Linked DNA regions of Schizosaccharomyces pombe. The gene in region 2 interacts genetically with the main gene of each other region. Each region holds a gene or a part of one and is shown on either strand. Other genes may lie near its edges. The genes, in order: gls1 and alg10.

Region 1 (18,656 bases), 2.1 Mb from region 2:
ATGAGCCATAAGTTGGCTGTTCATGTATTGGGCAAAATTTTCCTTTTGCTTGATGGATATCGATTCGTGTATCATGATGGAAACAGAACCACTATGGAGTCTATTTCTGTTCCCGAATCCTTTCCCCAGTTTGCTTATTCCATAATTGATAGTGCTACGGACAACCTCGATACCCCAGAACTTCGAGCTTATTGTGTTGATAAATATGCGAGTCAAATTATGAGAGCGTTTATACGTATAGACTTTGAGCGCTCAAAAAAAACAAAAAAGAAGCACGATCCACGCTTAGTTTCCAAATTGTTACTATCTAACGAGTACGATTTAAAAGAATTACCGTTTATGGAAACTTTGTTGAAGGACGAAACTGGCTCGCGTATTCTGGAGGTCATCGTTGAAAACATGTCAGCCTCTCATCTACTCAGATTTTATGCCGTCTTTGAAGGACGTTTTTATCGGCTTTGTGTTCATCCTATAGCCAATTTTATAATGCAACGTTACATAAGAAGGTTGGGAAGGAAGGAGATTGGTTCTGTCATTGATGAATTAAAGAAGAATACAGACAACATCATTAGGAAGTCATTTCTTCCAGTGTTAAGGACATTACTTGAGAAGAGTAACCATTTACATTGTTATCAAGATGACATATTTTCAATGATTCAGACAAGCGTAACAAATAGTGGAAAGGATGCCAACATTATTCCATGCTTGCTCCGATCGAAGCATAAACGTGATAAAGCCAACCCAGAAAACAAAGAGCGTAAACTTGTTAATAATTTACTGGGTGCTCAACTGTTAGAAGAAATGCTTCACTGTGAGAAACAACATATTCAGTTATTATTAGATAGCGTTTTAGATCTCTCAAAAGAGCAGATTTTGGAATATTGTCTGGAAACAGTATCCTCTCACTTGATAGAAGGAATTCTTGATTTATCAGACTTAAACCCGGTATTTCTTAAAAAATTTCTCAATATCCTTTCCGGATCATTTGCTACATTAGCTGTTTCTGCTCCTGGTTCGCATATTGTAGATAAAGCGTGGAAGGCCACAAGGGCATTGCCGCTTTATCGTACAAGAATTGTTCGTGAGTTGGCTGAAGGTGGTGACGACGTCAAATTTGATTTCTATGGCAAAAAAGTTTGCTCAAACTGGAAGGTCGAGCTTTTTCGTCGAGCTCCTGATGAATGGTATCGTTTCATGAAACAGGATGAACCATCTAAGCGTGTTCATGAACGTGCACGCCAGTATGGTCGTATTGTTTCTGGCAGTTCAGCCAATACTCAGCCTTTGGGGGAGAAGCGCAGCACTGAAAATGATGAAGAGCTTGAGTCCGGTCCTAAAAGAGTGAAAGTCTGAAGGAGAAAAGGTTTCCATTGGTTAAATTGAAATGCACGGCATTTTTACGTCTCGCCAATTTAAGCATGGCATTTTGTTGGTCAAAAAAAAGTTATGTTTTTAATTTAGGTAATATAGGTATTTAATTTTGTTGCGGTTTGCTATGTATAGAGGCGCTTTTGCAGAGTAAGGAAGTAAACTTTGTAAAAGGAATTGTATTTCTAATTATGAATTGATCAACTGAAGAAGAGGTTTCGAATTTTTTGAATTGTTCTACCACTAATAATTTGTGTTTTGTATATTTGTATTCAAATGTTTTGCCTTATTTCTCTAAGGTGGTTTCTAGGCTGAAAAAGAATTGACAGAGGTTTTGAGCTGATTTTCATTGTCAAATAGTATTCACTTTATTTTTATCTTATGCTTAATTACTAAAGTATTTCGTTTATTAAGCAATGAGATTTTGCATTTGTTAATTTGATACAGCAATAATTCGCTTCTTAAATGAAGACAAAAAGTGTTAATTTATGGTATTAGGATAGAGTTGACCTAAATATGCTTTTATAAAGAAAGCTTGGCCAAAGAATTGTCTACATTTTATTGCCGTTTCGAAATACCGATGACAGAGGTGATACAGCTTCTAAACAAAATTAAACAATTTTAAACATAATAAAGAACCAAAGGAAAAAAAAGGAATCGATCAATCTCATGCCTTAATGCTGGTACAAGTTTCTTCTGAAGAATCATTCTTATAAATATTACAAATTCTTTACCGTAATACGAGAGAATACGTTATGCAGATTTAAGCATTTTAGAGAATTCTTATTTTATGAAGCACGGTACCGCAAAAGAATTTCTAGCAAGTTTGCAAGCTACAACAAACTGTCTCTCTACTCAATTATACAATTGCCATTGACTTGGCAAACTCCTCTCTACGAGTATTTAAAAGATGGAAATCGACGACATTTTTGCTTCTAAAAAGGCAAACCCTGCAAATGAAAAGTCAAATGACTCAAAGTCGGAGGCGAAAGCCCCTAAGAAAGGAGCCAAGACAAAATCTACTCCAAGTCGTCCAAAACCTACTAATAACCAAGACGATTTATTTTTAGATCCAAAGGGAGCCTCAGGAAGTAAGACACTTTTTGCCGTTTGATAGTTCATCCTTACATACGTTCTCGCTACTTGGTTAATGATTGCATTCGTTCATGTTTGGCATCCGCGTTGTTTGTCAATTCTTTGACCTCAAATTCATATTTATTGTCTAAAAGATTGAGAAACTTCGAACTGTGCTATATACTTATTTATTTATTATATACTGCTAGAGCTAGATTACGTTTTTCTAGGGAGATACATTTCACAATGATGTTTAGTGTTGGTGGAGACTCCAAATCATTAAGCTCTATTGTGTGGTATTGAACCTTATTCGCTATTCTGTTTACGGGAATGTTTGCCGAACGATGCAATACTTACCTAGCAACGGCACTTTTCTCCTTATCATCAGTAATTGTATTAACGTTTTGTGTTTTAGGAAAGCGTACCGAGGAAGGGTTTCTTGTATATGACGAGGAGGAATTAAACATTGGCCAAGGTGGAGGTACACCGGATTGCCCTTTTGATTGTCAGTGTTGTAAGTAACTTATTCATTGCATTTAAAAACTTTTCCATGGCATTTTTTCTCTTGCTAGCTCTATACTAATACTAATACCTTAAGGTTTTTGATCTCAACGTCGTTGTCGTTTTTTCAGGTTGGTTACCGTTTTTTTTTGGCTTGTCATACTTAATCTATGTTTTCTAATATCATCCATGATCCAGTTGTTGAAGCGTAGACATTTTCATAGCCGTGATTATCCTGTTTATTAGTGGTAGTGTCTTTCAATCAAACCTTTTACTGGTTTAATTCAAAAAATAGTTGATTTGTCCCTTTGGCAACAAAAGGTAAATAAACAATCCCTGGGTCTGTGTTTACACTTGTATTGCGTTGTTGTGATATGGTTCGGTAATCCATGCAATGTAAACAAATAGTGACTTGTTTTGCGGTAAAGTGAAGCATAAAATTCAACAATTGTCGTCATAGCAACGGAGTAGCTATTTGATATAAACAAATAGCCAGCGCACCAAACATTGCTGTAACAAACAAAAAAAAATCGAAGAGTGATTAGTTCAATCATCTACTGGGTTAGACTGGCTTTGAGCCACACTTTCATCTCACTTCAAGTTATCAAGCACTCTTTTCAAGAGTCATTTCTCTCATCGTTCTCTCCTTGATTTCTCTACGCATTGCACTAGATACTCGCTATCCTAAGTAAACAAGACAATGTCGCTTTCATATTTATCATCTTCTTCGCAAAAGTCGTTTGAATCATTTCGACAAGAAGAGAGTCCAGCTTGTAATCATTCGTACCAAAGGGATTATGAAACTTTTGGCGATAGCAAGCATACTTCTTTTTCCTCCTTCGCTCCCTTTGAAAATGAGGTGTCTTTAAATCAAGCTGTTATCCCTTCACCGCCTTCTCATCTTCAGAACTTTCAAGATCAGTTTGACTATAGTTCTGTTCTAAAAACACCGTTTAACCCTTTGTTGGAAGCGAATTCTGCATACTTTTTATCGAACCAAATATCGCTCCCCGACTCTCACTCGTATGCATCCTCCTTTGATGCTTCCTTATCACCCCCTTCCTCGCCTTTAACTTGCGTATCACAAATCCATACCGAGCAAAATTTTAATAACAATGACGCATTTTCCTTGACCAACTCTCAACAGGCCTTTTCCGAAATTGGTTATGATGCATCAAATTGGATTGATGAGCTGGACTCTCAACAACAAGTCCTTTCGTTTCCTGAGTTTGACATACCAGAAATAAAGACGGAAACTTGCTCCAACAAAGATCACCTCGAAAATTTCGACTACCTTTCCTCAAGTATACCTGAAACCTCGGGTCCTGCCTCTTCCGTTCTTCCCAGCTCTTCGCAATTGGAATCATTTAATGAGTTTATGTTCCTCCCATCCTCTCCCCCTGGATTAGATGAGATAAACGGTGCGCCTTCATTTGAAGAATTGAACTTTCAAATATCCCAACCAAGTCCGGCACATCCTGTAGACTTATCGAGTCCAGAGACTGCACCTAATATCTCCCCTGTATCCCCATTTGCCCAACTTGTAAAGCTAGAGCCCACTTCGCCTCAAAAGCCCTCCTTTGCTCTAGATTCTTCGTTTTCCCATTTGGATGTATGCAGGCATACTGACAACCAGAAAGCGTTTGCAAAGTTATCATCACCTGCTGAATACGTTTCTGAATTTGAAAAATTCTCATCCGTTTGCGATCATGGACTTGACATATCGAACGCAAATATCAACAACACTTTGACACAGCAGTTTGCATTAAGTGCACCTTATGAATCTTGCATAGTTACCAAGAAACCTGAACCTTGTATCACTGTCAAGGAAGAAGAACAATTAGCTCCAAAAATTGAATCTGCTGATTTATCAATTACTCCTCAAGTCACCGAGCATGATTCCAAACCTCCGGTCAGAATTTCATACGATCATAGATGCAAAACTCGCAAGCAATCAACTAGGATTTGTAGAATTCCTCCGGAGACAATGGCTAGCTTATATTGCGGCCCTGAAGCAGATGGAAAGTACGTCTGTTTGTACAACGGGTGCAATAAACGTATTGCTCGCAAATATAATGTTGAATCGCATATTCAAACACATCTGAGCGACCGTCCGTATCGCTGTGACTTATGCAAAGCTGGCTTTGTTCGTCACCACGATCTTAAGCGTCATCTGAGGATTCACGAAAATGGCAGGCCATATGTATGTGAATGCTTAAAGAGATTTAACCGACTTGATGCCTTAAATCGGCATAAGCAGAGAAATATATGTGTTGGCGGCGTAGATCGCAGACAGCACTAATGATGACAGCTGTACAACTTGCATCGCATTGCATTATAATGAGTTATGTTTGGTTTTTTTTTGGGATTTTTTAATTTTACTAATATTATTGTTTTTAATTTGCTTTTATATAAATTCAAATTCAAGCATCGTACATGAACTAATGCTGTGACAATTTTGATAATTTATCAACTTGTATCTGTCTTTTGTATATTTATTCATCACCCTAGTATTGTGTATAACTCTGCATCATCTAAAATCTACAGATTAATCTTTGTGAAATGGAAATACAACTATGAAGTTGTTCGTATCGTTGAACGGCTGAAATGGTAAAACTAGTTTCCCCAAACCTGACAAACAACTTGGATACATGAGTAAGAATTAGTGTTTGCTTTCACTCGCACCGATGTTTAGTCAACATATGTTTAAGTTGGTATTTCTAGGGAAAACTTGTATTTAATTACTATAGTATGCGAAGTATTTCATTGGAAAACAGTGGTTGTAGTATGCTGCCAAGCAAGCATTTATTATGATAATAATAATTCAACAAATTAATCACTATGACTTAAACAGAGAAACCAATGATTGTTTTAACTATTATTGCTGGTCATTGGAGGAAATTTTGTCGGCAAGAGAAAAGATAATTCATTTCTATTTGCAAAGAACCAAAAAATACGAAAACTCGTCGTAGCTTATGCAAACACAAAATCACAGGTTTACAAGCCTTTACTACACTAAATCACCATATATGAATCATTCAATAGGATATAATTGACATCAATTAGTGACAAACTGTCGATATTAATACAAGGGAATCAGGATTTTCATTTCAGCATTACGATTTTAAAAATTGTGAGAAATGTTAAATTGTGTTATATAATTAACGCAAACGTTAATTCTCAGTACGAGAAACTTGCGTTACACCCTAACCTACGTGAGTTAAAACCAGTCACGCATCCATATATCACAATGCAACATCAATATTTTCCTCCATCCGCGAGGAAGAGGCAATACTTTGCTGACGATGCAGATCTTTGTAAAAACCCTTACGGGTAAGACCATTACCCTTGAGGTTGAATCCTCTGACACTATTGACAATGTCAAGAGCAAAATCCAAGATAAGGAAGGAATTCCTCCTGATCAACAACGTTTGATCTTTGCTGGCAAGCAACTCGAGGACGGACGTACTTTGTCTGATTATAACATCCAAAAGGAGTCCACTCTTCACCTCGTTTTGCGTCTTCGTGGTGGTGGTAAGAAGCGTAAAAAGAAGACTTACACTACTCCCAAGAAGATCAAGCACAAGCACAAGAAGGTTGAGCTCGCCGTCCTCAAATACTACAAGGTTGAGGATGATGGAAGCGTTAAGCGTCTTCGTCGTGAGTGTCCCAACTGTGGTGCGTCCACCTTCATGGCCAACCACAAGGACCGCCTTTACTGTGGTAGATGCCATTTGACTCTTAAGTTGGAAAACTAAACTTGAATGAAATAGTATTTTCTACTGTGGTCTAGACATATCATCATGAGCAGTAATTGTAGAATATTAAGATTGAAATAAGCTGTAAAACTTTTAAAAATAATTTTATAAGTAGATGCATGAGACTATAAATTGTTCAAAATGAGTATAGATTCATCACTTGGTTCAGTGATCGTTTTGAATAGTACCTGAGCACATTAGCAACTCGTGGAGTACTATTTTGCTCAATTCACTTTTTTTCAGAATTAGAGAATGAAAGAAGATTTCTTCAAATTCATGTGTAGTCGTTACGATTAATACAACCTAACTTTTACATACAAGTAGCATGCGAATACTTTTTGGTCGTCGAAAAATCATTCCAACCAATATCTAAATAAATTTCTTTTGCATGCAACTATGTTAAAACGAAAAATTAGCCTTTATATTAAAAAAAAAAAAATATTCTATATCTTTGAACGAGAGTAACAAAAAAGGCTCTTCATTGAATTGAAAGCCTTGGTTAGTACTATCTGCTTTCCATTTAGCGAATTTTAAACCATCGTTATTTCATTGGATATACTACGAATTATTAACATTTTAATAGCACGCAGACGCGACTACAACCTAGGAGTAAAAAAGTCTGTTTAAACTGGTTAATTTTGATATTTATTTAATCTTTGAAATCAAATTTAGAGCTATTGTTAAGAAAAAAAAAATCAATATTCCACCCCAACTTAAAAACTTTGATTTAAACGACCCAATATTTCAAAAACAGTTATTTACCACTCAATTATTTTTATTATTAAGTTAATTCAATCAGACACTGGTAGCGCAGTTTTTAATTCAAACATTTTGCGATTTTTCGTCTGAATCCGTTTACTTCTTGCTTAACGTCTATCGTTACAATAATTAACTAGTTATTTCGAACCATGGGTCCGTCTGGTGCCGGTACACGTGGTGGTCAAGCCCAATTCCAATGGGAAGAAGTGAGAAATGATAAACAGAAAGGAAGATATTTGGGTCAATCTATTTATGCCGCCTCAGGTCGTTGGGCTGAGGGTAAGGATTTGGAGTGGTGGTCTAAAGGTAGAACCACCCAGTCTGCTATAAATTCGGAAAATTCTGATAAAGAAAAGTATAAAAAAGAAATTTTAGAGATTAAAGAAAGAGAGCAAAGGATGCTTGCAGAAGCTTTGGGTCTTCCGCAGCCTTCTGCTCTCGCACTAACGTCGTCAAAAGCCGCAAACCGCTCTTCAACAAATACTGAAAAAGATTCCAGAAGCATTGCCCATAGTACCTCCCGATCAAGGTCAACTTCTCCGGCTAACCGCCATAGAAGAAAGGAAAAAGAAAGAACACGAAGCAATCATCGACATGGCTCTCATCGTCGTCACGAACCTTACCGTACACATTTATCTAGGCACCATAGGCATAGTACCACCAATTATCATTCAAAAAGAGACGACCGCTACGAAAGAAGGCGTGAACACTCCCCAAATGATGGAGGAAGTTGAAACGAAAGTACATTAATTCGATCAATTCTAGTGTTCTCTTAATTTCTTAAAAGTTCCCGTTTAATATGTTTATTTCCTTTTGTTTTTTTTGATGATTGTTCTTAAATACGAAACGCAGTTCGCAATGCGTGCGACGAAAAAAATTTTTAGGCTTATATATGACCTTTCTAATAGTATGAGCATTACAAAATAATCACTTTTCATTTTCTATTCTCGAAAGTTTAAAAATATGAACAAGTCATAAAGAAAATAATCCAATAATTATCATTCTCAATAATTTTCAGACATAATGTTAACAACTAGACTGGTCCATCCAGTAAAGTCCTTGGTTCGTTGACCCTTACCAGTGGTGGGATCGTATTGTTCCCAGAAAATACCGGTTTGGCGCCAATTCTCAAAAACATTATTTACAACGTTAGTACGTAGCTCTTCATAAATCGACCTTGCAAGATTTTGATTGGGACCAGGGGTATTAATGTAATTTTGATATAAACTACTAAGGATGAGATAATTCATATTAATCCATATAGGGCCTCGCCAGTAGTTTTCTCCGGTTCCAAAGTAAACATCGTTCATACTTAAGCTTCGGATTCCATAAGGAGACCACAACTCATTTTCGTCCCTAATAAGTTTCAACAAGCTAGTAAGCCTACCACTATCAGCAGGAAGCAAACCAAGCATCATTGGCAGTAGAGTAACATATCCTTTATGACACACATTAATAGGATCATCGTATTCATCAACACTTGAATCACAGTAAGCCTGTACTTCTTCATCCCAATGATTGTCTTCGAGGTTTCGAAGCATTGCATTTTCATAGCCAGCCAATTTCTCTGCTTCCTCGGTTTCGCCTAAAAACTCAGCGACAAAATGTAAACTTCTGGTAAATGAAGTCATCCAGCTGAGTAAATCAACATGAAGCTCAGCAGTACTAGGGGGTTGAGCTCTAGGGTAGTCATCCAGTCCGCTTGCCAGACAATGCTGATAAGTACGTCCACGCCAGCGATAGCCTTCAACTTGAGAAAAGCATTCCCGTTCCCAGGTTTCGAAATCTCCTTTTTGTGTTTCACGGAACCACTCATAGTGACGAAGAAGAAGAGGAAAAAGATCACGAAGAAACTGTACAGACTTTTCAGGGTTAGAAATGGAGACAGAACGAAGGTATTCAAGATCATCCAAGGAATAGTCTTCACCTTCACCACTAAAACGATTATTAAGTTTTCCTTGTTGTTCCTGAAGTCTTTCAATATATCCTTTTAAGGCCAAGATCAGAGTGGGTGGATTAGCAATATCGGGATACTGAGTTTGAAACTCATCGGGAACCTTGCTTCGAGCTTCTTCACCAAGGATTTGTTCACGGCCTACCCACCCATCTTCGTTCACCAATGAAAACCAGCTTTTGAGGATCTCAAGACTAAAATCGTTATCCCAAAGTCCTACGGGTAAAAGATGAAATCCTTCATCCCAATAGAAACCACGTGGGAAATGAGGTCGACTAGGAACAATGGTAAATAAACTTCTTTCAATGTCATGAAACGCAGTACCTTCGGCAAGTTTGCCAGCAGCACTTTCAAATCCTTGCATGAACTCGTAGTCTTCATCGTCTAGTTCAATGGGGTTTTTACTAACGATTGAATCACCAGTAAAGAATCCAACGTTACCAAAAAGATTTGAGAAAGCGGTGTGAGCAAATATTTGATGAGCCTTTTCTGTATCATATGGAGCCTTCAAAGGGAAGGTAGCTTGAAACTTTTCTTCAAATTCTTGGAGATTCTTATCAATAGCTTGTGAAATCATTTCTTCAGAAATTTTTTTGGAAGAAGCGTAATTAAAAACGATATCGAACATGAACTCGCCTTTAAATACCTTTTGGATGAATTGCAAGCCTTCTTCTGAAGGAAGGTTGGGTAAAGTTAAAGTACTGTATGCAGGAGGAAGATCTTTCAGGGATTCATATCCTTCCTTGTCACTAATCACTTTCATTTTAGTGTCCAATAAGTACAGGATAAGCTCAGAAGTTCGCCATGCTCCCTCCTTTTTTACATTGAATCCAGCGAAAAAATCTTTGTCCATAACCATGGATTCCAAATCTACAGACGCAGGAGATACAGGATGCTCACCTAGACGATTAAACGTCTGTATACGAAACTTTCCGAGGTCGGGGGTTTTTCCTTCCATATATACGTGATTGGCATGGTTAACCTTGGTACCAACTTTACCCTCGCCCTCAACATACGCGTAAAAAAACAGAGAAGTAGTAAGGTCAGTTGGTGCTCCAGGAAGAGGAATACCGTGCACACGAAGAGCCCAATTTCCTTCGGGTAACTTGACAAAATCAGTTTCAAGTTTGATACCCATGAGAAAATCATCGATCACTTGCTGTCCTCCCCGACGAACATCGTAATGCTTCCATCCAAAGGCACCAATATCATCTCCATGTTCGGCACTGTGTCTCATTTCTAAATAATGTTAATACCTATATGTATGTCCAGCTGCAAACGCGACATACTTGAGAATCTAGCATAGTCATCAACATTGGACCACATAAGTCCTGTCATTAACGAATCAGGAATCTTAGGACGAATTCCAACATATAAATTTGGCCTATACGGACCCCATAAAAACGAATCATTCGCTGCTTTCTCAATGTCTTCAACACTACACGAGACAAGTACGCAGTTCAATAGAAACGATAAGAGTCCAAATAAAATCCATCTCTTATTTCCGCCAAGCATGTCTGACACCATCGTTTGTGCTAGCAAAAGACTGATGATGGCCAGTGTTTTGTTTTGGTTAGTGTGTATTGCATGGCTAGCATGCTTCCTCTGGCATCCAACACATTATAGTGTCTTAACTAGCATTATGAATGCTACGTTAAGTTTTTTCCAAACGCTCACAGCCACACTGCAGCGCGTAAGATTTGGCTGCGTAAAACATTTGGAGCTAAGAACAAAGGCTTACTTTATTTATCAGTTTAACAGAAATTACAAGTAATTAAGTAGTAGCAGTTTTTAAAATGATATTTGTTACAACTTCATTGTATTCGAACATAATAGAAAGCATTTCCATAGTGATATACATTTAATGTAGTTGGGGTTTACGTCCATCAATTGTTTAGTTTATTAGCTCAGTTGTTGAATTTTAATATTAGACCTTTACCTAAATTGTTATGGCTCAATCAATTGCTAGATAAATATGTTTAAGTGGGTTTGAAGCAAAGCTTTAAAGAATCAAGATACATTTGTAGTCAATAAACGGCAAGAAATCCGAAAGATTTCAATGAATAAATGAATAATCATTCAGCTTTTTCCTTTACGTTTAAGGGGAAAAAATTGAAAAAAATTAGATAATAGTGTCATGGTCTGAATATGCATAAAAAATTTACAAAATTTCATGATTAATAGAAATGACTTCCTACACTCCACTGTTAATTGTAAAATAATATAAATGCACACACTTCAAAATAATTGTTTTAACAAAAAGTATCCTAGTAAAAACATGATTGAATAATCCAGAACTTAAACTTCAAAGACTCACTAATCAACAGGTCTAACACTAAAATTAGGCAATGTTGACCAATTCCGAATCGAGCTCGGACTTGACGGCATCCAAAAACTCGAATGTATCAACATAACCATTGGGAGACTTGCTGAGAAGGTAAAGATCCTTTGTCATAATACCCTTCTCAACGCATCGAACACAAGCATGCTCGAGGGCGTTGGCAAACTTAACTAAACGTTCGTTGCCATCTAAACGACCACGATGGGCAAGACCACGAGTCCAGGCAAAGATAGAGGCAATACTGTTGGTTGAAGTCTTCTTACCTTTCAAGTATTGCATGTAGTGACGCTGTACAGTACCATGAGCAGCCTCACTCTCAAAAGTGCGACCGTTGGGATGAATGAGGACAGAAGTCATTAGGCCTAAGGATCCATAAGCTTGGGCAACCACATCCGACATAACATCACCATCGTAATTTTTGCATGCCCAAACAAAACCACCATTGGACTTAATAGCTTGGGCTACCATGTCATCAATTAGACGATGTTGATACCATAAACCTAGTTCCTCAAACTTTTGCTTGTAATCAGATTCATATACTTCTTGGAATGTATCCTTAAATCTACCATCATATTTTTTCAAAATTGTATTCTTAGTGGAAAGATAAAGTGGCATTTTCTTTTGCAAAGCCATTTGGAAAGAACTGTGAGCAAATCCACGAATAGAGTCGTCAGTGTTGTACATAGACATAGCTACACCACTACCGTTGAACTCGTAAACATTGTATGTTTCTTTAGCAGAAGGATTACCTTTAGGGGTGAATGAAAGTTCCAACTTACCGGGGCCTGAAGCTACCAAGTCCGTTGACTTGTATTGATCTCCAAAGGCATGACGCCCGATACAAATAGGGTTCGTCCATCCAGGAATATACTTGGGAATGTTTTTGATTAAAATGGGCTCCCGAAATACTGTACCATTCAAAATGTTACGAATGGTACCATTGGGAGACTTCCACATCTTCTTGAGGTTATACTCTTTCACACGAGCCTCATCAGGAGTAATGGTGGCACATTTGATACCGACATCATTTTTGAGGATAGCTTTGGCTGCATCCACAGTAATTTGGTCGTTTGTCTTATCGCGAGCTTCGATTCCAAGGTCATAATAATCCAATTTAATGTCCATATATGGGAGAACCAACTTTTCACGAATGATCTTCCAAATCACTCTCGTCATCTCATCACCATCCATTTCAACGACTGGGTTTTTAACAGTGATCTTTTGAAAAGATTTGCTTGAAGCCATACGCATATTCATGAAACCACGGCCTGCGGCAGCCAACTTGAAAGGTGCCTTTACGGCAGCACGTACTTCCAACATATTGTGTCAGTTTTTTTATCCTTTAAAGTAAATGAAATATTCGACGAAGCTAAGTTGAGAAGGAGTAGCTGTGCAAATGTCCCTTAAATCCTAGTTCTATCCACCAAACTGCCTCTGTTCCTCACTACTTCTTACAATAGCACAAAGTGGTTGGTTAAGTGTAAGTTACTGATGGCAGTAGTGATTTTGTTACATTTTAGCAATCCTTTCGTTAAACTGAGAAAAGATTTAGTCACTTCTGATATCGGAGATGTGAGTGAACATTTCGCTTATCCATTCGCTCACATAGTATGACACTACGCAAAACTAGAACCGACAAGTCGATCGTAAAATATCTTATCTTTAGATATCCGTTACCTCTGATAGATCTGATAACCCTGTTACCTATAAAATTGAAATCTTCGTTTCTAGTAACTTAACTGTGAAGTGCAGCAGCGTCCTACAAGTGCTTATGAAAATGGGACGTTATAATTAAATATTTAATATAAGCTATATCCACGTTCAAACGTTGTAGCAGATTGACAACGTCGTGATTACCAGTCGAGTTCTTCAGTTTAATCTTTTTGATATCAAAACAACACTTTCTTCATTTTTGTTATAGACTACTTTCTTTATTTTTCCTCATTAGTTGCATCAGCTGCTGTTTGATTATTTTCTGATGGCTGCTCATCTACTGCGTCGACGGGTTGCATTTTTGTGTCTTCCTGTTCCTCACTGGTATTTTCTTGAACAGGCTCGTTTGCTTCTTCTATCGTGTCCTTTTTAACAGAGAGGAAATTTGATTCCACATATTTTAACATAAGGTTAAGCCAATGAGATACCCATATATTTTCAGCATTTTCGGAAATAAGGGCGCGCAAAGCTGACAATAGTAAATTCGTGACAATTTCCTTTTCCTCATTCGCTTCATTGATTAGCGAAGAGTCTTCTTTGTTAGAAACCGAACGCCGCAATCTAGCTGCTAATTTATTAAAAGTGGTGTTAACAAGTGACCACGTATAACTACGAGACCATATAGTCACGTCTTGCTTGATCAACCACTCAATAATAGAGGTAATACTAATTATAGAGTAGTTCAGCATTTTATCTAGCCACATAACTGCGTTGAACGGTTGTAATTTCCAAAATGAAAAAAGTTCATCAACAACCTCTATTTCGGAATCTAATGATTTTCGAGAAAAATGTTTCAATGTATTAAGATGTTTCTCGAACACGTTCAATGCGTGCGAAAACGATCTCGAACCCAAGCTATAAGCACAAGACATAACTAATCGGACAGCAGATGTCTCGGAGTTTTGAATCTCCTCGCTCTGCAAAATAATGTCAAGTTCTTCTAACGGTTTATGTAATCTCAATGCTTCGATAATTTGACTTGACTGTTGATATAGCGGATGAGTCTCATTTTCGTACACGAAATTGGGACCCGACGGTTGTTCGCCAAGCAAACAACGTAACTCTTCAGGGAGTGAGTCAGAAATTCTTGTGTAATAGCTTAAAATAAGTTCCCTAGTAATAGTTTCCCGCATAAAAACTTTTTTTGGATGAAGATCGTCCAGCTCAACGTCAGGAATCCACTCATTCCACTTCCAGTGAAAGTTGAAATTACTAAGGTGATGTGAAAACCAGTCAATAAATCGATCAAGTGTTTGTAAAGGTAAATCAGAAGACATGGTATACATTAGCCGAATGACCCTTCCAAAAGTTGGAGCCAAAATTTTAGGAGCGATACGGCAGCATTCAATCAAAAGCGAATGATAATAGACAGGTTTATACGTAGTATTCTGTGAACCAAGAAGCTCACCCAAAACAGCTTCAACTATGATATCTTCTGCTTTCCAACGTGATTCCGATGGATCTAAATTTGGTAATTCATTTACTGGAGTACCACGAAGAGCAAAAGTTTTGTAGGTAAAATAAACATCTAAATCTGTAAGAACTTGAGCAGCCTCAACTCGGTTAAATTCCAAATGGTTTATAACATCCACACTTATATCACGAAATATGCTGGCTGCAACGTCGGAAGCGTCAGGAGTCGTGCGAATTTCAAAGTTATTAAAAAGCTCAAAAAATCTCTTGAAGGAAGGTAGCTCATTTTGCTGAGGAGTGGGCTGAAACGTCCATTCAGGAATACTTGGGCTAACCGGAACAATATGAACGAAATCAGATTCAAAAAACTTCCAGGGTTGAGATATATAAGGAAAAGTAAAGTCGTTTTCCCGAGATAGAATTAGTTGTTTATAGAGTAAGTCCAATTCCTCCTCTGAAAGATTGTCATGTATTGAAAGGGGATTACTTAGAGTTATCGAAGATTTCCTATGACGAACGTAAATCTCACATTGATCCAGTATCTCATTAGCAAAATCCTTTTTACCGAGATCGTTGTTAGCTGCGATGAAATATGGAAGGTTTATCAAAATTATGCGCAGGAAATTATCTCCCCAGACACTGGGTTTGGTTTCTTTTGAGATAGCGTCAGCCAGTAATGAAAATAGTGGCTTAAGGGTACCTGGTTGAAGTGCAAATGACATGCAAATGAGCATTCGTAGATCGACTTTAGCCTCGTAATAAAGAAAGGAGTTTAAATTCGTAAAATACTGTAAACAAAAATACGCAGCTGCTTTTTCTAAGATTAAAGGAACCCTTAATGAGGCTCTTATAATTAATGTAGCCAAATGAGGTATTTTGACTGGAATGATAAATGCACTAAGGATTAAATTAGTTTTCTGAAGGGACAGTATAAATTATCACTTACGTTGTCTGAATGCAATCTAAGATAGTTGAAATGGTTTCAGGATCATTAGCTTCACGACTAAGAGACATAGCAACATAATTAATGTCATCAGCAGCTACTGAATTTCCTCGAGGATCCGCCAAAAAGGTAATATCCTTTTTTATACGCGCTGCAAGTAGCTCTTGAGAGTTTCCTCTATGGGGACGAAATCCATAATTCTCTCCCTCTCTCGTCCTCTTTCTGGGTCGAGTTGATCCCCGATAAGAAGACATTTTGTGAGGAATGTTAGTGTCTTACTGTTGTTGGCGTATAGCAGAATTGTAAAAACACGAGCAAGTGTTCTCAAGTAACAATCAACTTAGAGGTAACGAATGGTATACTAAGTCGAGATGGAAATTGTAAAACAAAAAAAAAGAAAATCGATTTTCCAATGCGATAAAAACGAAAACCTTAATAAATATGATTAGAAAATTTTACAACACTGTAATATTCTATTTCGGTAAAGGAATAAGCATCCATTCTGCTTCTATATTTTCACCTTTCAGTGAATGAGTCCTTCGTTTTTTTTGACAAACAATTAAAACAAAAATTAGAGGATATAATTTGAAATCCTCATTCACCGAGATTTAAGTGAAAAGGATCTGTGTTTATGCTTGTTTTTTCCTTGCCAAGGAGCATTTCTGCCATACATAAACCCGTGGCAGGAGCTTGAGTTATCCCCCAGTTGGCGTGACCCGCTGCAACAAATACACCAGACTTGGTTGTTGATATTATCGGGATACCTGTTATTCTACTGGTAGGAAGGAACTTAAAAGATGCGTCTAAGTAGTTACTCTTCGTATTCTCCGAGAGCACCAAATCGGTCATTTCTTTCAATTCGATAATTTCAAAAGGATTAAAAAAACATCGATTACTATCTTTTGGCAGCAAATGGAATTTTGGAGTTCCCATAAAAATAAGCTGCTCCCGGTTTTTACTGAAAATTTCGGTTGTTTTGCAAATGTTTAGATTACCCATGGTATTTAAACAACACACAACAATGCTGTCGCCAACGGGAAAATTTCCTACCGATAGGTGAATTATGGGAATGCATAGACCTGCAATACCAGTAAATGGTAATAGATAACCAGTCCAAGGCCCAGCACTCACCAGCGTTTTATGCACCTGTGCTTTTATTATTGTATCTTCAGCTTCTTGTTTTGGAACGTATGTAATATGGTGTTTACTAACCTCTTTCACACTTCCAAATATAAACTTTACTCCTCGTTTTTCTATTTCTTTTGCCATAAATTGACAAAACAATTTTGGATTGATCATTGCAAAATCGTTGCCGGAACCGATACTAGAACCTAAATGGTTAGTCTCTATATGACTTATACAATAAAGTTATTATTTTTTTTTGGTAGCACTTATGAGCTTACATTTTTGCATGCGCTCTCGTTGAAGCCATTGCAAAGTATCGGGAACTTTGGCAACATTGGTATTGTCCCATTTCATCTTACAAAACCAAGAATTGGCAGTCCTATATTCCCAGTTTTTCTTCCCATCAAATTTTTTATCCAATCCTTCATAAAGCTTCAAAGCGAGAGTTGAAAGTGGCTGTATGATTTCATTCTGGCACAGTTTTGTCAAGATTGCAGAATCAATGCCGGAGCTACCTCCTGCTATTTCTTTTGATTCAAATATAAATATGTCCAATTCTCCTTTTTTGTATTCTTGTTCTTCTGTTAAGTAAAACGCCGTACAAATTCCAATAATGCCACCTAAAAATCATCGTCAGCATGCTCACTCATCATTTATGAAACTGTTGTTCTCCAAAATTACCTCCTACTATTCCTATCTTTGTCTTATTTCCTTCTCTACTTGTAGCGCTCATATTTGAAGTTGGAAAGTTGACTTGAAACACAATCATCTTGCTGTAACGCTTCTAAACATTACGTTATCCTCACCAGTATTTCCTTCAATCTCTCTTATTTTTTTACCATTTTGAGAATAAAATAAATAGCAATAATAATAATAACAAAACGGTTCAATATTCAACAGTTTTTGCCATTCAGAATGCCTTTCATAAATTGCTATGGCGAGATATACGATTCTTTCATGAATACCAAACGATTGTAAAAAAGGAAAAAAATTACAAAATACTCCTCCTAATCTATAAAGTCAAGTTCGCATAAACAAACGGATTTTTAAATTTTTGAAATGCCAGATTCACATTCTTCAGATAGTTTACATATTATTTACACATGCCTTAATTAAAATTACTGCAACCAGTTCATTGAGTTGTAATTATATTTTGATTCCAAATAATCTACTGAAAACAGCTGTACAGCTGTATATGCAGAATGGTATTTCCAAAGCATAACAAATATTAGACATTTCACAACAATGATAATTGTTAAGCGATATCATCTTGAAAAGTTTATTTTACCGACTTATGATCGACAATCAACAGAAATATGCAAAATAAATTAGTGATGGTATGGATGTAATCCGTTAAATGGTATTCAAGCACTTTGTTCTCAGTACGTGCTCCAAAACATTACATTGCTGGAGATGCTATGGAATTTGATTTTTTTTCGTTTGTTGCTCCTTCCAGAGTTCAATCATTAGTCCTTCCTTTTGGTCGTGTTAGAAGAAAAAGTTTCTCGTCCTACCTACAATTACTCCGCAGAGTAAGTCATATTCAGTTGAGTGATGTCCCTGTAGCTACTGCTACTAGAAAATGTATGTTTCTTATTTTTATGATTATTGACTAATCTTAATAGCGAGTTCTTTCAATCCTTTGGCTTTTCCGTTGGGCAGATTGGTGTACAATTTCCTAACCAGCCTTGATGATCAACAAGCTCT
Region 2 (9,752 bases):
CATACGAAGACCATATCTAATAGCATCAAATTCGCCAAAAGCAGGGCTACGAGAGTCACCCCAACGACCATGCGGTAATTCGTCCCACTGATCAGTACGCGAGACATAACTTTCATTACGAGTGCGCCAGAAAATGGGCCGTACACCTTCATTTATCCGACGATCTTGACTGGAAGCATTGGTTAACTCGACGTTATTAGTATCCACTATAGGAGCCAAGTTTTCATCTAATAAACCTAATCGTTCAATAATCATTTTAACGGCCTTTTCTAAATTCATAGTGTAAAAATGAAGTCTCGTAATGCCACTAGCTATAAGCTTACGGCACATTTCGACTATGAGCTCAACACCACGCTCACGGACTCCTTCATCATCGTCTTTAACTGGGACTAGAGTATCCATAAAATGCTGGGGAATTTTAACACCGCTCCATTTCGCTCTCCGAATAAAGGAATCCCATGCCTGAATAGGCATAATGCCCGGAAATATAGGGATATTTATTCCTGCTGCACGCACTTTATCGACCCATGCGATAAAATTGTCTACATCATAAAACATTTGAGTAACGATAAAATCAGCACCTTCATCGACTTTTAATTTCAGATGCTTTATGCTTTCATCAATGTCATCATCTGGTGAATATCCTTCTGGATAGCCAGCTACACCAATACAGAATTCATCATTATAATGTGTGCGAATATATCTAACTAAGTCTGAAGCATACCGGAATCCACTTTCGCCTTCAGTCCAGTCTGTATCTTTAACAGGATCACCTCTAAGGGCCAATATGTTACGACACCCTGTTTCATGAGCCCGTTTCAAAGCTGCGTCAATCATTTCTGTGGACATGTTCGTACAAGTCAAATGCATGCAAGTATCCACTTCAAAATCTGTTTGAATTACATTAACGATTCCAGGAGTCAGTTCTGAAGAAGTACCACCAGCACCCCAAGTCACATCGACAAACATGGGACGACCCCAAGTCTTCATGCGATCTATACGATTGTAAAGATTTTGGACACCAGTGCTCGTTTTTGGAGGAAAAAATTCATAACTGTAAGTAACTTTTTCCTTCCAATCCGGGTGAAGTAATTTGTCACTTATTTTCATTTTTACCTCTCAAATTCAACAATGAACTACTGACAAAATAGCGGGCTCTTGGCAAAGTCTTTTTTTTCGTTTTCATTCCACTTTTCATGGTTTTGCCTCGTAATAAGTCGTTAATGAGCTATTATTATAAACCTTAATATACGTTAAACTGTCAGCTACGCAGTTTGGTATCTGATTTAAGGATACGTAGAACTGCGGCGAGTTTTCCTTGTGATCTTTTATATTACAATAAACAGGTTGTTTGAGTAGCAACTGAGTATAGGTATTGTATTAACTGGGTTATAATGTTACCTATCACTAATATAGCTCATAATTGAACTCAGAAACGAGGTTCAGCAGTAGCTCTATTTACAATCTTTCTAAATAGTTATCAACGGATATCTATGATATGATGTTGAACATGTGACATATAGTGATACGCAACGTAGTTGTCATATCGTAGTGCAGTATTGCTGACATTATTTAACAAACATACTAAGGCATAATATTCATTACAAGGAAGAAGATAAAACAAACGTCGAATCGGTATACCAAACGTAATATGATTGAACAATTTAAAAATGATCATTTCCCTCCTTGCAAAATTCATAGCTGCAATTTAAATGCGTTTTAAAGTACTCACAACGTTACTTAATTCAAGTATTGTTGACAAACAAATGTTTTAGTACGCTACTCATTTCCCATTCTGGTAATAATTTTCATGTACCATTTTTTAAACCAAAGTCGTGTTCGTGCTCAATGAATATCATTTGTAGTCTCCAGCCTTCGCTTCGCGAAAGAAGAGTTCACGCAATTTTAAAAAATTGACTTTGTAAGTTTGTAAGCGCTAAAAAAAATGAAGCATTTGGTCATTGTTTCATCCTTTAAGGCAACTAAATATGTGTGCTACATGAATAAGTTGCTGGAGCTACCTATAATTAATAATTACTAATATACTGGATGGAAAATTCTTTCTATTCTTTGACCGCGATGGATTAAATTCAAATGTTTTATCGATTCACAAGATACTCGTAATGTTGTCTTCAAAAATAAACGAATTTTGCTTTTTGTTTCAATGTGAATTTTGACTTACAAGTTAGAGGTACATATCAAATATAGGATGCTAATATAGCACAAGTTAATATTCTAAAAAAAAATCTAATAATTACTCAAAGTCTAACCCATGCACTATCAAAATAAATGATGAATGATTTGATATGACAAGCCAGCCAATAGATTACTCCATCAATTAGAATGTAGCATTTGGGTCTTTGGTATAGCTATATTTTTCATTATCAACGATTAGACACAGCCTGTGACTCTTGCTTGCTTTTGCGAATATTCACAGCTCTAACGAAACAGTTATTTCTGAAATATATAACCTATTTTCTCATGCGATATTGATAAACCTATCGTTCTTCCGTTAGTCCGTCTTCCGATTGACAAAGAGTAAACGTTTAATATTATATTATCCCAAAATTTAAAACAAAACCTATTATACAAGAGCCCCAAACCTTCTTATACCGAAAGACCAGTTCTTTCCTAAACAATACCTTGTTTATCTTCTTTTGTAAATGCAAGCACTTAATATGGGAGGGAGTTCTTCACATTTCCCGTGTACAGGTACTTTTTTGAACTCAAACAGAGTAAACATTTTGTTTTGAAGCTGAATGGACTTAGTTTCAAAGCCTAATTTTGGAAGTTCTTTAGCAAAAACTTCTCCACTCTTATCAGAGAATCTGCTTTTGATTTCAGCAACCCAAAGTAAACCACCGACTTTAAGAATACGATAAGCTTCTTTCAAAAAAGATTGCCAATTGGTGCCCATAAGACTTAAACAAAATACAGCAATATCGACAGTTTCGTCAGCCATTGGAACATTCGCAATATCACAGGCTACCACATGTTCATTGGGAGCAACAAGGTCAAAGCTGTGCACTTGCAAAGAACGTGATTTTCTAAATGTAGAAGCTATTTTAGCTTCTCCGCAACCGAGGTCAGCAATTACAATATTGTTTTTCTTCTTTGCGTTTGAATGCTCAAATCTGATCTTTAAATGTTGAATGAAAATATCAACAGGATTTTCCGGCCAACCTTCAACTTGATATCGAAAACCAGCGTGATAAATATCAAACAAATCTGGATTTTCCTTGAACATTTGTACAGCTTTGTCACTTTCCGTAGTGTACAATTGTTCATTTATCCATCGAAAATTGGCACCATCTAGTTTATCTTTCATTTTTTGTTGAAGAGACGTTAACTTAGTATGCTTAGCATCCCCCTTGTTTTTCTCTTTAATAGAAGGGACTGATTTTTCTTTTTTAATCTCGCTTTTCAGGGAATTGTTTGTGGTAACCGACTTTGCCTTTTTTAAAACTTTTTCGTTGAGCTTTTCGCCTTTATCTCCTACATTCTTTCTCTCACCTTTCTTTCTTTTTTTTTCTTTTCTAGATTCTTTCGTTTGGTCTGATGCGCTTTTACTTACTGGACCTAAGTCCCAATCTACTTTAAACATGAAGTAGGGAATAAGATTAAATTTGGTTGTAAGAAAACTTCATCCTACGTACGTCAAACCAATGAAACCATAAAAGTTTCTAAGTATTAAAATAAATAACATTCATTTTTTGTGAACGTAAAATTAAAATAACAAATACTTGAAAAAACTAATCTTGAAATATAAAACTCAGTTTGATTAAGCAATTACGCATATATATAGAATTTTTACTTTCTGATACAAAACACATAAAAAATGATATAAAACACATTAATTTGAAAGAATTCGTCTACAATAGTAGAACAGGACCGATCTTGAAAATAATCATTTCCCTAATTTTTATCATGACTAAAATCATTGATTATGTATATCCAATCTCCCCGAAATCGAATTAAGTCGTTAAAGGAGAAAAGAAGCAGCTACATCTAAATCTCCATTCGCAGCGTCTAACGCCTGCGCAGCCTCTAATGGATCAAATCCCATACTGACTAGCTGTGCAATTTTGGAGTTCAAACCGGGGTCAGTGGGAGGATTTACCAAGGAAGGGGGATTGGAAGATCCCTCATTGTTGGGTGCTACGCTTTCTTTGGTACCAAGACGAGTGCCACTTTGTGGATTAGGTGAAGAAGCGCTCGCCTTACTTGCAGGTTCAATACCTAAACCGTGTGCATTTGCAGATGGCTCCACATTAGCCAGCAATTTTGGAATTTCAGATTCTCCAAGAAAAGGAATTTCTTTTCCATGAATCCGAAGAACGTTATTTTCTAAATCTATACAAGCTTGATAACGGCGTAACATATCAAGACCAAGTAGCATATCAACATCCCGACCTTCAATAACAGTAAATCGACATGGAAGATATAAATCGCCAATCTTTAAAGGTGCACTGTGAACACAACCTAATATTTTAGCCATTCCTACGCCCTTAGCGACACCTTGAAATCTAGTGTCAAGAAGCCTGGTAAGACCGCACTTTTCAGCGCAATCAGCAGACAAAATGGTAGCTTGAGCACCAGAATCCACAAATGCTTTCACCTTATGACCGTTAATCTCAACGTTTACAAAAAGCATATAAACTTGACCAAACACTTCAGGATGGTTTTCTATTGCCGATTGCATATTCTCGGTCACGGCATTTTGACGAATCTGCTCTTCAATACGTCGTTGGACTTCAACATCAAAGAGGTCATCTTCCTACAAAAATGTTAGTAAATCACCTTCGAAAGCCCTTTATTTATTGTGTCCATTAAAACTAAATTATTGGACTCAGCAGTTTATACGGGCGCTATTATGCGAAATTAAACGTACAGAAAATGAAGGCATTCCCATCGAATATGTAGAAGAAGGAATCTGCAATAATTGAGAAGCATTAATGGACTGCCATGTAGTAGCAAACGCATTGGGATCATTAAGGACAGCAGCTAGTTGAGGAAACTCTGTGCGTATTCGATTTAATAGAAAAGGAGTTGCTAAAATCGTTTGACGAATATTTTCTGGTGTTAAATTATTCATTTTTGTGTTTTCTTAATCACTCTTTGAGGTTATGGTAGAGGAAGGACCTGATTTGGCAGCATGACACGACTTGACTAATCGGCCACCCATATCAATTGCCATCCATAAAGGAATGGCCAAATAAGGAAAATAAAAACTCATTATCATCCATTTTTTTTCAGCAAATAACTCGAACATGCAGCACCATGTCGTAGTAAAAGCATGCACCCCGTATATGAGAATTGCAACCCATAAAACTGGATCCCTCGCTTTCTTTCGTAAGCGTAGAGAAACCCAAATAAAAAAAGGAACTTGAAAGAAAAGTTCTGAAGAAAACAATGCAGTTTTCCAAGGCGCAGGGATTAAAAGAATAGGGTCTTCATATGTAGATAAATAAAAGCGTCGCAAACCAGAAAGACAGCTTAAAGAGCCTCCAAGCCATTCAGTTATAGGTAAATCAACAAATAATGCTGCAGCTAGATGGCTTACGAAATAATAGTAATACAAGGTATCCATGTGAAGGCGTGTGGTTGGCAATTTGTATATCTCACTACTATAAATGCGGCGTAATGAAACCACTTTCATGAACCCAAAACATTGATATTCCTCATTCAGAGATTTTGAATTGCTATAGAAAACAATTTTACAATTTTAAACGGTGACATTGAAAGTTATTAGTATTTTTAATAACAACTGCTTCTCTGCGTATTCTATATACGTTACTTAATAATGTATTATCGTGTTTGTTTTAGAGCACTACGTCTAAATAGTTTTATAAAAACAATACGTTAGATGTTACACTTACAAGCAATAGGAAGACGATTGTTTAGTTTCATATTGGTGGTAATCAGTATATCGAGTAATTTTGTGTGCCAATATTAAGTTAAAAAGCCTCAGGCAGATTTCATTAATTAGTTAGTATTACCGCTTAATTGCCTTCATGTACATGATAATGTTAGACCACATTACTATGAAATTTATCAAGTATTAAAATTTAAATGAAATTCAATGTTATCAGTTCTTTTAAAAAAAAATGATGCAATTAGCAGCCTAAATATAAAAAACAGACTCGTCACATTTCGTACTTAAGTGTGCATAATGTTGAATGGTTTTTAGAATGCTATCTTTCTCTAGATAACTAATAATAAAATCATGAAATTCAATTAATTTGATGTAAAAACATTGTTCTCCCACTCTTGCTATATTGTAAGCATTTGAATTCCAAACTTCCTGCCAACAACCTCAGCGAAATTTAATTCACACCTTTCGAAAAGTTGATCGTTTGTTTTGGAAATTGTGTTATAGGGTCTAAAACAAGCGAACATAAAAAGCTGTTTGTAAAAGGTGCGCCCTTTATCAAAACCTGATTTTCTTTATTCGTTTATTATAAACTTTCATTAAAGACCCAAAACACAGACAATGTTTCTTGGAAAAGCTATAATTCTAATACTATGGATTTTTCTAGCTTTTACAGGTCTTCTAGCTATACAATACTATGTTCCTAATCCTTACTTGGATGAAATATTCCATATTGCACAAGCTCAACGCTTTTGTAGAAAAGATTGGGATTGGGATCCGGCGATTACTACACCTCCTGGTTTATACTTGGTTTCAGTCGCACTCAGCCCATTTATAGGCTGCAGCAATGTATCTCTGAGGTTAATAAACTGGCTTGTAGGCGTAATTGGACTGCCATGGCTTATAAACGATATCGTTTCTCTTTTGAATAATAGGAAAGGAGATGTTGTTACCTATTTCGCTTATACGTTATCGTCATTACCTCCTTTATGGTTTTTCTCATTTTTATACTACACTGATATTGGTAGTACTTTTTTCGTCCTTCTTGCTTATGACTTTGCTCTCCGAAAGTCTGCTTTTTCAAGCTCTGTGTCTTGTTTTTTTTCTCTATGGTTTCGACAGACAAATATCGTTTGGATGGTCTTTATTGCAGTTACATATTTTGCTAGCAATATGTCTTTCTTCAATCCCCACTTAGCTGAAGCAACTTTTGCTGATGTTCTTCTTACTATAATTTCATTCTTAGGGGTTTTTCTTAAAAATTTAAGAAGATTTTCGTGCCCAATTCTATCCTATGGTGCAGTATTTTGTTCCTTCCTTGCATTTTTGCTTTGGAATGGCAGTATTGTCTTAGGCGACAAATCTCATCATCAAGCAAGCATTCATTTATCTCAAATAAATTACTTTCTGTGGTTTTTCTTTTTCTTTTCTTTTCCCTCTTATATTATAAAATATCTAATGTCCCATTCTCGACGCTCCAAACTTTTGTCCGCAGTCTTTTCTAAAAAATCTTTTTTGATCGTTTCTGTGCTTTTGTTGATAGCGCATTTTAATACGTACGTGCTAAATTGGTATTGTTTAATTTAACTAACGTTTAGAATTTTCCATCCATTTATTTTAGCAGACAACAGGCATTATTTATTTTACGTTTTCAACAGACTTTTTCGAATTTGGTGGTTAAAATATTTAGGCCCATTTTCTTATTTAATTTTATACTACTTTTTTTTGGATATATCCAAATTGCAAATGACCTCGCTCACGTTCTTTTTACTGATTTCAACAACAATCCTTACATTGGTACCGGCACCTTTAGTAGAATTTCGGTATTTCCTTTTACCCTTCCTTTTCTGGCGTTTTCATCTTCCTCTTCCGTCGGGGAGGGAATGTTTAATGGAATATGCTTTGCATATGGTCATTAATTCTGTCACCTTGTATATATTTTTATTTCGAACATTTATATGGCCATCCGAGCCAAATGCTCTTCAAAGGTTTATGTGGTAAACTATCTCATACGAAACTAAATCAATTCAATACTTTATATTATGTCAACTTCAAAAATGATTAATCTGATGAACCACATTTACTTGATTTAGTCGAATTTTTAGATCTATCTCCTTCTCTTTATTTTTAACTGTTTTAATGTAGGATTTTCTCTAAGAAGAAGTATTTGCGTTTTTTATGTATGTATTCGACATTGGTAAACAAGATATATAAAGGTGTAAATGATAGTACTACGTTTTCAGTAAGTTATATTTTGTATAACTCAAAGTAATTTAAAATCATGGTGCTCGTTGATTTTTGGTAGAGTTGGATACGATAACATCTCTGTTTTACCTAGAGCCAACAACAATGGAGACTTTCAAAACTCACATCACTGGGCAGTTTAATGCTACAGTTTCTTCAATCACGCCCTTCGCTAAGGTAAGATGCATTTGTTATATTGTATTGCTGTTTAAATCTTCAGTTAGTATTTGCGTTTTTATTACCCGCAGCCGTGATTTTATTTTTAAAGTGATCGTTTTAGTTGATTTATTCATTCCGATAAACAAGAATATCTTATTAACAGTTTATGTTAGAAAACCACTCATTATTTGCGTACAAAAATTGGATCAAGAGTCGAGGAAGTACGATAAAATAAAATGCACACGAATTAACATTTTTTCAATAGTTATCTCTTCCGGAGGATTATGTGGAATTGGAACAACAAGTTGATAGCTTGAAAGAAGCATACAATCTTGTTTTACCTATTGTTGAAACCGTAGAAGTTGATGGATACGATTATCCTACAAATTTCCGCGATTCTATTACGGATTTTGGTAAAACCGTTTCGGGAAAGGTAAGAATACTTAAACTTTATCAAATCATCGTCAAGATATCATATAAAGTGCACTGGGTCACAAAGCGAATGGTTGAATGTTTTATTGAGATGCTAACTATTTGTTAAATGCAGGTTAGAAATCTCGGAAATTTGACTCCCTTAGAACAAACGCCTTTAGCTTCAGTGGGAAAAAATTTAGAAGAAAAAGAGGCAGCCGCGAAGCCCTCAAGAACTCTTTACAATGCTATTTCCCGTGCTGCTTCAGAAGCTACGACTAAGATGGGGGCTGGAAATCCTCTATCAAGTGCCTTTGGTCAAATCTCCGTTTTAGAGGAAAAAGGTAAGTCAAAATTTTTTTTGGTTTTAATTGCCTTGTTGTTATTTTTATTAGGAAAAATTTTGTTTGCAATTTGTTCAGGCATACCAAAAAAAGATGTAGACTGTTTTTTATGCTTTTCCTAACCTGTACGCAGTTGGAAATTTACAAGGGGAGCGCGATTCAGCTATTAGCAAGAACTTTTGTGAACAAGTTCGTGCAGTCCTTTATCCTCGTTTTGCGGAAGCTCATAGGGTCAAGGCTGACGTACAAGACAAGCGTCTTCAGTTGGAAATGGCCAAGTTGGATGTTGAGTCCGCAAAACCTGAAAATCTTGAGCACTGTAAATCAGCCGTTCGTTCGGCTGAGGATGAATTAAACGGTGCCATTGAACATGCTAAAATACTTTACGAACAAATCCTCAATAAGGATTACAATACCGATTTGCTTCGTAGTATTATAAAAAATCAACTAAAATTCCACCAGGATGCAGCAGCAGCTCTATCGGATATAACCATCTAATCCGTTCTTGGTTCTAAAATTAACAACTCAAAATTACTGTAATTTCTTTAATTGTTTCCTACGTACTTGTTTAAAGTCAACAAGGAATGTGGGTAACAACTGTAGCGTTACTAATCGTTACTTGAGAAGTAAGCGAGACTTTATTTTAACAAAAATAAAGAATTCGCTGGTTTCGGTATTTTGAGATTAGCATGTAAATAGATAGTTTGTCGTAAACTGTGTAA

Evidence for each region.
Region 1: of alg10 (region 2) and gls1, a mutation in one rescues a mutant of the other (synthetic rescue), as found in Schizosaccharomyces pombe (one study listed by BioGRID).

Annotation. Positions count from the first base shown.
Region 1 is NC_003424.3:3,225,955-3,244,610, reverse strand, and holds gls1 (glucosidase I Gls1), read right to left. Parts: upstream 10,990-18,656; 5' UTR 10,942-10,989; coding exon 10,704-10,941; exon of another isoform or gene 10,654-10,703; coding exon 8,465-10,653; 3' UTR 8,195-8,464; coding exon of another isoform or gene 7,610-8,194; 3' UTR 7,330-7,609; downstream 1-7,329. Other genes in the region: RNA-binding protein Nop9, read left to right, coding at 1-1,353; SPOM_SPAC6G9.01C (uncharacterized protein), read left to right, coding at 2,279-2,459, 2,858-2,956, 3,041-3,048; DNA-binding transcription factor Ace2, read left to right, coding at 3,644-5,245; ubi3 (ubiquitin-40S ribosomal protein S31 fusion protein), read left to right, coding at 6,249-6,701; SPOM_SPAC6G10.10C (uncharacterized protein), read left to right, coding at 7,610-8,194; isocitrate dehydrogenase Idp1, read right to left, coding at 11,756-13,075; cbc1 (nuclear cap-binding complex large subunit), read right to left, coding at 13,687-15,778, 15,828-16,078; tda3 (FAD-dependent amino acid oxidase), read right to left, coding at 16,419-17,155, 17,228-17,569, 17,631-17,682; TRAPP complex subunit Trs120, read left to right, coding at 18,368-18,533, 18,575-18,656.
Region 2 is NC_003424.3:1,134,473-1,144,224, reverse strand, and holds alg10 (dolichyl-phosphate-glucose--glycolipid alpha-glucosyltransferase Alg10), read left to right. Parts: upstream 1-6,306; 5' UTR 6,307-6,493; coding exon 6,494-7,428; intron 7,429-7,470; coding exon 7,471-7,873; 3' UTR 7,874-8,029; downstream 8,030-9,752. Other genes in the region: methylenetetrahydrofolate reductase Met9, read right to left, coding at 1-1,110; rRNA methyltransferase Rrp8, read right to left, coding at 2,648-3,604; UBA domain protein Mud1, read right to left, coding at 3,983-4,777, 4,892-5,095; protein ema19, read right to left, coding at 5,108-5,659; mug64 (BAR domain-containing protein), read left to right, coding at 8,222-8,293, 8,449-8,496, 8,541-8,708, 8,823-9,030, 9,164-9,528.